Linked DNA regions of Oryzias latipes. The protein of the gene in region 1 interacts with the protein of each later gene in a biochemical or structural test. Links are inferred from orthologs where the notes say so. Each region holds a gene or a part of one and is shown on either strand. Other genes may lie near its edges.

Region 1 (3,752 bases):
AGTCCTGCAGACGGACAATAGAGCCCCTTTACTCTTCAAGACCTGATTTCTCCTTGTAGAATCAGTGTGTGTGTGTGTGTGCGCTGAAAGAAGCTGAATAGTTCTCCCACACGGTACCTAAAGATCCTGAAGAGCTGGTCGATCTCGGAGTCTCCGTGGAACAGGGGCTTCTTGGTGGCGAGTTCAGCAAAGATGGTACCCGTGCTCCACACGTCCACTGGGGTTGAATATCGGGGGGAACCCAGAAGGACCTCAGGAGCTCGATACCACAGAGTCACAACCTGAGAACGAGAAGCTTGGATCAGCTGAGCAGACCTCAGCGTTGGGTTCTGCAGCGGAGCGGTTCCCACCTCGTGGGTGTAGACCCGGACGGGAACACCGAAGGCCCGGGCCAAGCCAAAGTCTGCCAGTTTGATGACGCCCTTGTTATCAATCAGAAGGTTCTGGGGCTTCAGGTCGCGGTGGAGGACCCGCCTTCGGTGACAGAAGTAAATGCCCTCAAGGATCTGATAGAGGTAGCTCTGTAGGGGGGGGCAGAAAAGGGAACAGGCTCAAAGTGGTAGACTGCTAGTTCCACACCAGAACATCCTCACAGACAAGCAGCACAAAGCATCATGGCTGCCTCAGAAGAACTGATGAAGATCTGTGATGTTTGGAGCTGCAGTCCGTGGTTAGTGAGGAACCTGGTGTGTTATCATTCAGAGACCCCCCTCCCCCAGCTGAAACCGGGATGTTCAGCTTAATAGAAAGCGTTTGTCACAACAAAGAGTAGGAAATCTAAAAACGAAGCGCTGAGTGTTTTACCTTGACCAGCATGGGGTCCATGTACTGTCCTGACGGGATGCTATCCAGGTACTTCTTCAGGTCCATGGACAGGAACTCAAAGATCAGGTAGAGGCGAGATTCCTGCATCAGGACATCCAAGAGCCTTTCAGGTGAACACAAAGGTGGAACCATTATTGCACCTCCAAGATCAGCGGAGGGAGTTGAGGGATTCGGCATTAACGCTACTCTGAACATCCCTACAGAAGGACTAAAGAGTTAAAAACCCAAGCAGGACCCCTCTGGAAAGAACATGGAAGCAAGTGGAGGCCTCCCATTACACGTGTGCACGTGTTCAGGTCAGAGTTCATGATCCAACAGTCAGAAAGGGACTTCTGAACAATCATGGATCCACAGGAGAGTTCAAGGAGAAAGAAGTGCTGAACAAGAACAAACATCTGGATTATCCCCAAACGTTCAGATGAGACAAGAGGGACTAAAACCCAGCACCTTTGACCCGGACATCACCTCACTGCATTTTACCTGCAGCGCATGGACATTAATGTCAGGAACCTGTTCAGCGCACACGTGCAGCATACCGGACGACGTTGGGGTGCTTCAGCTCCTGAAGCAGCGACACCTCCCTGACAGCGGTGCTGGGAACTCCCTCCTCCTCACTCTCCAGGCGGATCTTCTTCATGGCCACCACCTGTCCCGTGGACTTGTGCCGGCCTTTGTACACCACCCCGTATGTCCCTGCAGACACCAGAGCAGAGTCAGGGGATGAGGACTCAGACGTCCCAGAACCACTGCAGTCACCCCATCACTCAGATTGTGGTGCAGGGGACCATGATCAGAATGAAGAGCCAGGATCTGAACCAAAGCAAAGCTTGAGACGTCATCCTGGGACATCTCCATATACGGGTGGAGGAACTTTCAAGGACTTCCAAGTTCAGCATCCAGGTGGGCCTCTTTGGTGGGTTTCACCCCCCAAAAAAATCTGGACAACATTTTAGAAAAACAAAAACATTTTTACTCCACCAACCTTCTCCGATTTTCTCTATTTTCACGTAGTCCTCCATCTGTCCCTGAAAGAGAAGACAAATCCTCTCAGCTCGGACTTCTGCAGATGTTCAGACTCCAAACGGTCAGATCCTCCGTTGAGAACCGCTGAACGTTCAGGCCTGAAAACCGTAAAACGAGCAGCTCGACGTTACAGAGACAGAATAAAAACAGTAGGAATCGAACCAACCCCACCGACTTTCACCGGCCAGCTGAGGCCTCTCCAAATCTGAAAACCAGGTTGGGGGAAAACCGAACCGAGCCGTTACCGGAAGGCGCGTGTCCGTCCGCCAACGCGCCTCTCCTCATATCAAAGCGGTACCATTTCATGTCGTGATCTACCGGTTGAAGCCGTTAACGGTTGCCGCTTCTTACCTCCGTGCTGTCGCTGCTCACGCTGCGGATACAAAGCTGACACTCTTTAAAATTGAGCGCAGGACTCGGCTTCAAAACGCACCAATCAGCGCGCTCGACGCTGTTCAAAACAGCTAATCAACGAGCGGGAACGTAGCTGGACGCGCTGACGTCATACAGGTCTCCTGTCTGCGTGCCTGAACGAAAACACATTCTGGATCAGTCTTCCTGTCTCCCCACTAAAGTTTTTTTCCTTTCTCGTTCGTTGGTTTTTAGATTTAGTGCTTGCAGCTTTTTTCGTTTCTGAAACCGTCCCTTTGTTGACTTCCATATTTCAATCTTTCTTTTTTTCCTTTTAAAACCTTTCTTTTTAAATTTTAATTTTTTCCGCTTTTAATAGTTTTTAAAGAATTTTACTTCCTTTTTGTTTTGTATTAAACATTTTTATCTTCACCGTCGTTTTAGTCTTAATCGTTTCCCTGGAAAGCTGTCTCTCGTTGTTACACTCGTCTTCATCCTCTGTTGTTGCTGTTCACCATATCCCTTCAGCTTTCACTGATCTGCAGTCGGTTTGGCAGAGATATGTACACTGAATGGCCTTCCTGACACAATCCTGTATTTACTTTAGGCCGGGACCGACACTTTCTGGCTACATAGTTAGGCAGGAGCCTAACACTGGATGAAGCTCATTGCACCCCATGGGAATCAAACCCGGGTTTCTCATGCACCAGGCCTACATGCAGCCAATGTAGTCATCCAGCTGCTCTTCTGGCCATACTCTGGACTTTGCTTTTTCTCAAAAACTCTCAATTTTTTAAAATGATTTTATTCTTATAACTTAGCAAGAAAATGTGTTTATTTTTTAAATAAATAACATTGAGTTTTCTTTCTAAAACTATTAGAAAGGACACAATAGGTTAAAGAAAACATTATAGATAATGTGCCACCTGGGGCCTGTTTCAGAAAGGAGGTTAAGTGTAAACTCTGAGTGCGTTAACCCTGAAATCAGGGAAACCCTGGGTTTTCTGTTTCAGAATGGGAGGTTTGTTAAACCAGAGAAAGCAGAGTAAGTCAAACCCGTTTCTGAAAGAGAGGTAACTTATACTCTGAGTCAGTGTCCATGGTTACTTACGCTGTGAACCTAACCTGGTGGGGAGCAGGTTTTATTCTCTAAACTCAAGGTTTCTGCCGGTCCCCTCCCCTTTTTAAAGACGAAGCGATATTTTTCGCTTTAACCTTCATTGCCCAAATGTCCGTCACACAGAGACAAGTGACAAGAATGGCTTGTCCTTTTTTGGAGGACCCAATAGACGAGGAGGCTGCATTAATTCGTAGAGAATTACATTTACCTCGTACGAGGATTTTGAGACCTAGACTCGATTTTTTGTCATTTCCCCATACGTTTTTGTTTGAGCGTTACCGTTTTTCATTGCAGTCAATTACATATATACAATGAAAACAACATTAGATATTGCTATGTAGATGTTTCATATGTCAAATATTGTCAACAAAGCCTACATCCATGACATGCTCAAATTTGACCTGATTGAATTATGTTTTTATACTTCATTTTT
Region 2 (3,752 bases), on another chromosome or scaffold:
ATTTTACGATTACTTTTACAATGGAGAACATATATAAAGAAATACTAATCATAAAATTGAATTTCTAAATAAAGAAATACTCAAAAAATGCAGTTTTACAATAATTTTCTTCACATATGTCCTCCATCAAAGGAAAAATGTCACTAGAACATGTTAAAAACACCAAAAACATGATTTTTATCAGAGTGGATCTTTAAAATAGCCCTTTTCGCCCCTGAATTAAACATGACAAAGTTTACTTTTATTAAAATTTATCAACAGGTCTGTCCTACGTTATAACTGCTATATCAGTTCTTGCTGTTTCTTTGCCAATACTAAAAATGTGTTTACTACAGCAGGGGCTTTTGGTTGTAGTGGTGACACTGAGGGGTGGGTCCAAGCCTAAAGTTAAGAATGGATGGACTCCACCTTCTGGCCTGTTTACATGGACACATGTGCTGCTTCACTGACAGCCCTCTTTCGTACTAAGCGATGAAAGCCCTCCCCTACGAGAGGCGCTTTCCACTCCCAGCCATCTGTAGTCGGTGTCTGGAGGACGGTGGAGGTTTTTTTTCTCCACCCTGGCTGCCTTCTCCCGCCTCCTCCCTAGTGTTTACCAACCCATCCGCCACAAAAAGGAGTGGCCAGCGGCCACGGAGGCAAGACTCAAATCGACAGTCCTCCTTTTTCCCCACCTCCAGGTTTTAATTCAAGACACAAATCTAAGCACGATTTCTAAGTTTAAACATAAGACCTTCTTCGGAATTATACAAAGAAATCCGTGCGTATATATGTCAACATTTTAGAAACGCGGAAAACATAACCAATGTCAATTAGACTAAGGAGCGCAGCCTAACGTGGATGAACCCGCCCTATATCACCCACCTTTTCTCAAATTCCATTGGTTGGCTGACGGTAAGAGGCAGAGACATACGGTTTGATTGGTAGATTGAAGTAATCTTTCACAAGGCGCTTTTCTAGGGGGTGCGCTTGTTTTCTACGTTAATGGAATGACAGTAACACTAGATAATCAATTTATACATTTTTTAAATAAAATTTTGATTTAAAATAGTCTCACTTAGTAACTTTTCTAAACATTTTTTTTCTTGCAGGAAAAATAAACCTAGCTACAGTAAATTGTCTTATATTTTACATGTTAATGGATGCAACTATAAATTACCTTTACTCGTTTAACTTTTAAGAAAATCTCGGTTTAAGGGGCTCTATTTTCAATGTGTATTTAGTTTTTAAAACAAATATATTAATATAGTTAAAACGCACCTACTTTTAAAAATGTGTTCTCTTTCTATGACTACATAGAACAAAGATGGCGGGCTACAAAGGTACCTAAATTAAACGCACCTCTGTGCTTTCCTTCAAAGGGAAGGGGCTATCAAGTTTGTGTGAAGTTGTGAAAAGTTGTTAAGCAGAAAAAGAGCACAGAAACTCCTCCCGTCTTCAAATATGAGCAGTAAGTGAAGTTTTAAAACTCAGTGGTATGTTATGTATCTTTAGCTTGACAGAGTTTTTATTGTAGTAAGAACATTTTTTAAAACAAATAAGCAGCGGTAAACGCACAGTATTATATATCGAGTTGCCATAAACATGCAGTCAAAAAGTGGCCAGCAAACCTAACGACGTTAACGCTACTTGTTGGAACTTGGCTAACAACATTTAGCGAAACGGCAAAAAGTTGTTCGTAAGTGACACTAAAATCTGTGTACTTTCAGGACCAATCTGTATTCTTAGCCCATGTAGTCCGTTACATTTTAGAGATTAACTGAAGTCTCAAAGAGATTCAAGAGCGATTTCTTAGAACATCACTTGCCATTAGTTGATGTTAGCTTAGCTATTGAGCTAGCTTGCCCCGTGAGTACTTTGCCATTTATACATTTGCTTTTCTTGGAAAAGCCGCTACAAAAAGACAAAACAGACTTAGAGTTTTATATATATAAGACGTTTTATTTTTGTCCCGTCTGAGGTTTAAACTTGTGTTAAAGAGTCGCATTGTCTGAAACTCGTGTTTTGCTGTTTGTTGAAGTTGGGAATCTTGCAACTCTTCTTCCGCAGATCAGCAACAAGGTGAAATGGCCGCAGTGGAGAGTGGCGGAGGATTCTCTCAGAAGCGGAACACTAACTCACAAGTAGGTTTATCCTTCACTCGGACTGTTGATTTTAGTCAGTCTTGGCCTGGTTTGTTTTCGCTACTTGTTGAATTAGCTCGAAGGCGTTATTCGGGACCGGTTGTTTATTTCTCCCCAGAGCACATGTCACCGGGGTGGGGACTGGGCAGGTAAAAATCTCCCAGACTGGGTGTTCCCGTCAACCCCCGGCACTACAAGTGCGTTTTGTTCGGCCCATTTGGCATGCCTTTGAGGGGGTGGCCAGTGTGGTGCGCTGGTTTATAGGGCAACATAAAGTGTGGGAGGGAGAGGGGTGGGCTTGGGAGGAGGGGGAAGCCGAGCCCGCCACTACTCCTCTCAACTGTGGTCCCTCCCATACCCCACCTCAACCCCCACCTCCATCTGAAGCCCACTCCCTAAATCCTGCCATGAACACAGAGCAAATCCACCTATTTAATTCAATAATCCATATTTACATTGGTGTTTGTTTAGCATAAAATATGTTTACATCGTTTTCTTTTGTTAGACCTAAAGTCCTGTCAAGATTATTTTTTTTAACATATTATACAATCATTTGAAATCCCTACTGAAATATTTTTGACCTTTTTTTTTTGGTTTGCCATTGTGAATTTTTCAAGATTACACAAGAGCTGTAAATATCACACTTTTTTAATAGCAATCATTTAAATCAGTGGCCCCTGACCCCAGGACGCAGACCGGTACCAGTCCGTGGGATAGTTGGTACCGGCACATAGAGAAAGAAACTATGACCTACATTTTTGTTTTTGTTTTATTTATAATCTGATTTTGAAAGAAACTGTATTTATTCCGTGTAAAATTGTCAACACTTCCATAGCTCCATGCTGTTTTGCACATCTGACATGTTTAAATCTGTACATATCACTCTGCACATAATTGCATACATTTTTATTTTTGCACATTTCTTATTTTGCATATTTGCACACATTCTTGGTACACTCTGTGCATATTGACATTTTTACATTATACTTTGTTAGATTTGTTTTTTGCACTGTAATCGTGACTGCTGTAATTTCATTGTCCAAATGGACAATGACAATAAAGGCATATCTTATCCTATCTTTAAAAACAGAATTCTCCTCAACTGATCCGACTCGTTTTTGACGCATGTCAAGTCACTCTGTTACTTGTCGACAAACCATCTATTACTTTCTTAAACCAGTAGCATAGACCGCTAAGTTGAAACCCCCAAGACAGCAAAGTTAACAACAACAAAAAATGTATTTAAAAGATGTTTTTTTGTCTTTTTTTGGCAGAAAAAAAGACCCAGTGACTTCAGAGAAAAAGAAAGTTGTATTTAACAGACAAAAACCAGTAGTCTGTACTCAAAATACGGATTTATCTACAGTAGTTCCCAAACACCATGATAATAATCTTTTTTTTCATCTTTTAATACGTGTTTAAGTAATGTTATTTTATTTTTTAATCTGTTGCACTTTAAAAGTTGGACAAGACTGAAGTTGGTGCCAATTTTTTAGCTTCCACTTTAACATTTATGAGTTTAGGGGAAATTTGTCACATTTGAATGATTCTAGTTTACAAATAAAATTTCAATCCTCTGCAGATATTTTACAGAGAATGAAAATAAACTTTACAATCAAAAGTTAAGGG

Evidence for each region. The genes of interacting proteins can lie anywhere in the genome.
Region 2: of the proteins of cdk1 (region 1) and sp1, one has a biochemical effect on the other in vitro, tested with the Homo sapiens proteins (2 studies listed by BioGRID). The link is inferred for Oryzias latipes from reciprocal best matches to the Homo sapiens genes CDK1 and SP1.

Annotation. Positions count from the first base shown.
Region 1 is NC_019873.2:1,586,300-1,590,051, reverse strand, and holds the start of cdk1 (cyclin-dependent kinase 1), read right to left. Parts: upstream 2,208-3,752; 5' UTR 2,200-2,207; intron 2,160-2,199; exon of another isoform or gene 2,015-2,159; intron 1,851-2,014; 5' UTR 1,845-1,850; coding exon 1,808-1,844; intron 1,519-1,807; coding exon 1,362-1,518; intron 929-1,361; coding exon 805-928; intron 522-804; coding exon 351-521; intron 282-350; coding exon 118-281; intron 5-117; coding exon 1-4. UniProt on the Homo sapiens protein: Plays a key role in the control of the eukaryotic cell cycle by modulating the centrosome cycle as well as mitotic onset; promotes G2-M transition via association with multiple interphase cyclins.
Region 2 is NC_019863.2:10,447,861-10,451,612, reverse strand, and holds the start of sp1 (transcription factor Sp1), read left to right. Parts: upstream 1-1,346; 5' UTR 1,347-1,443; coding exon 1,444-1,450; intron 1,451-2,049; coding exon 2,050-2,123; intron 2,124-3,752. UniProt on the Homo sapiens protein: Transcription factor that can activate or repress transcription in response to physiological and pathological stimuli.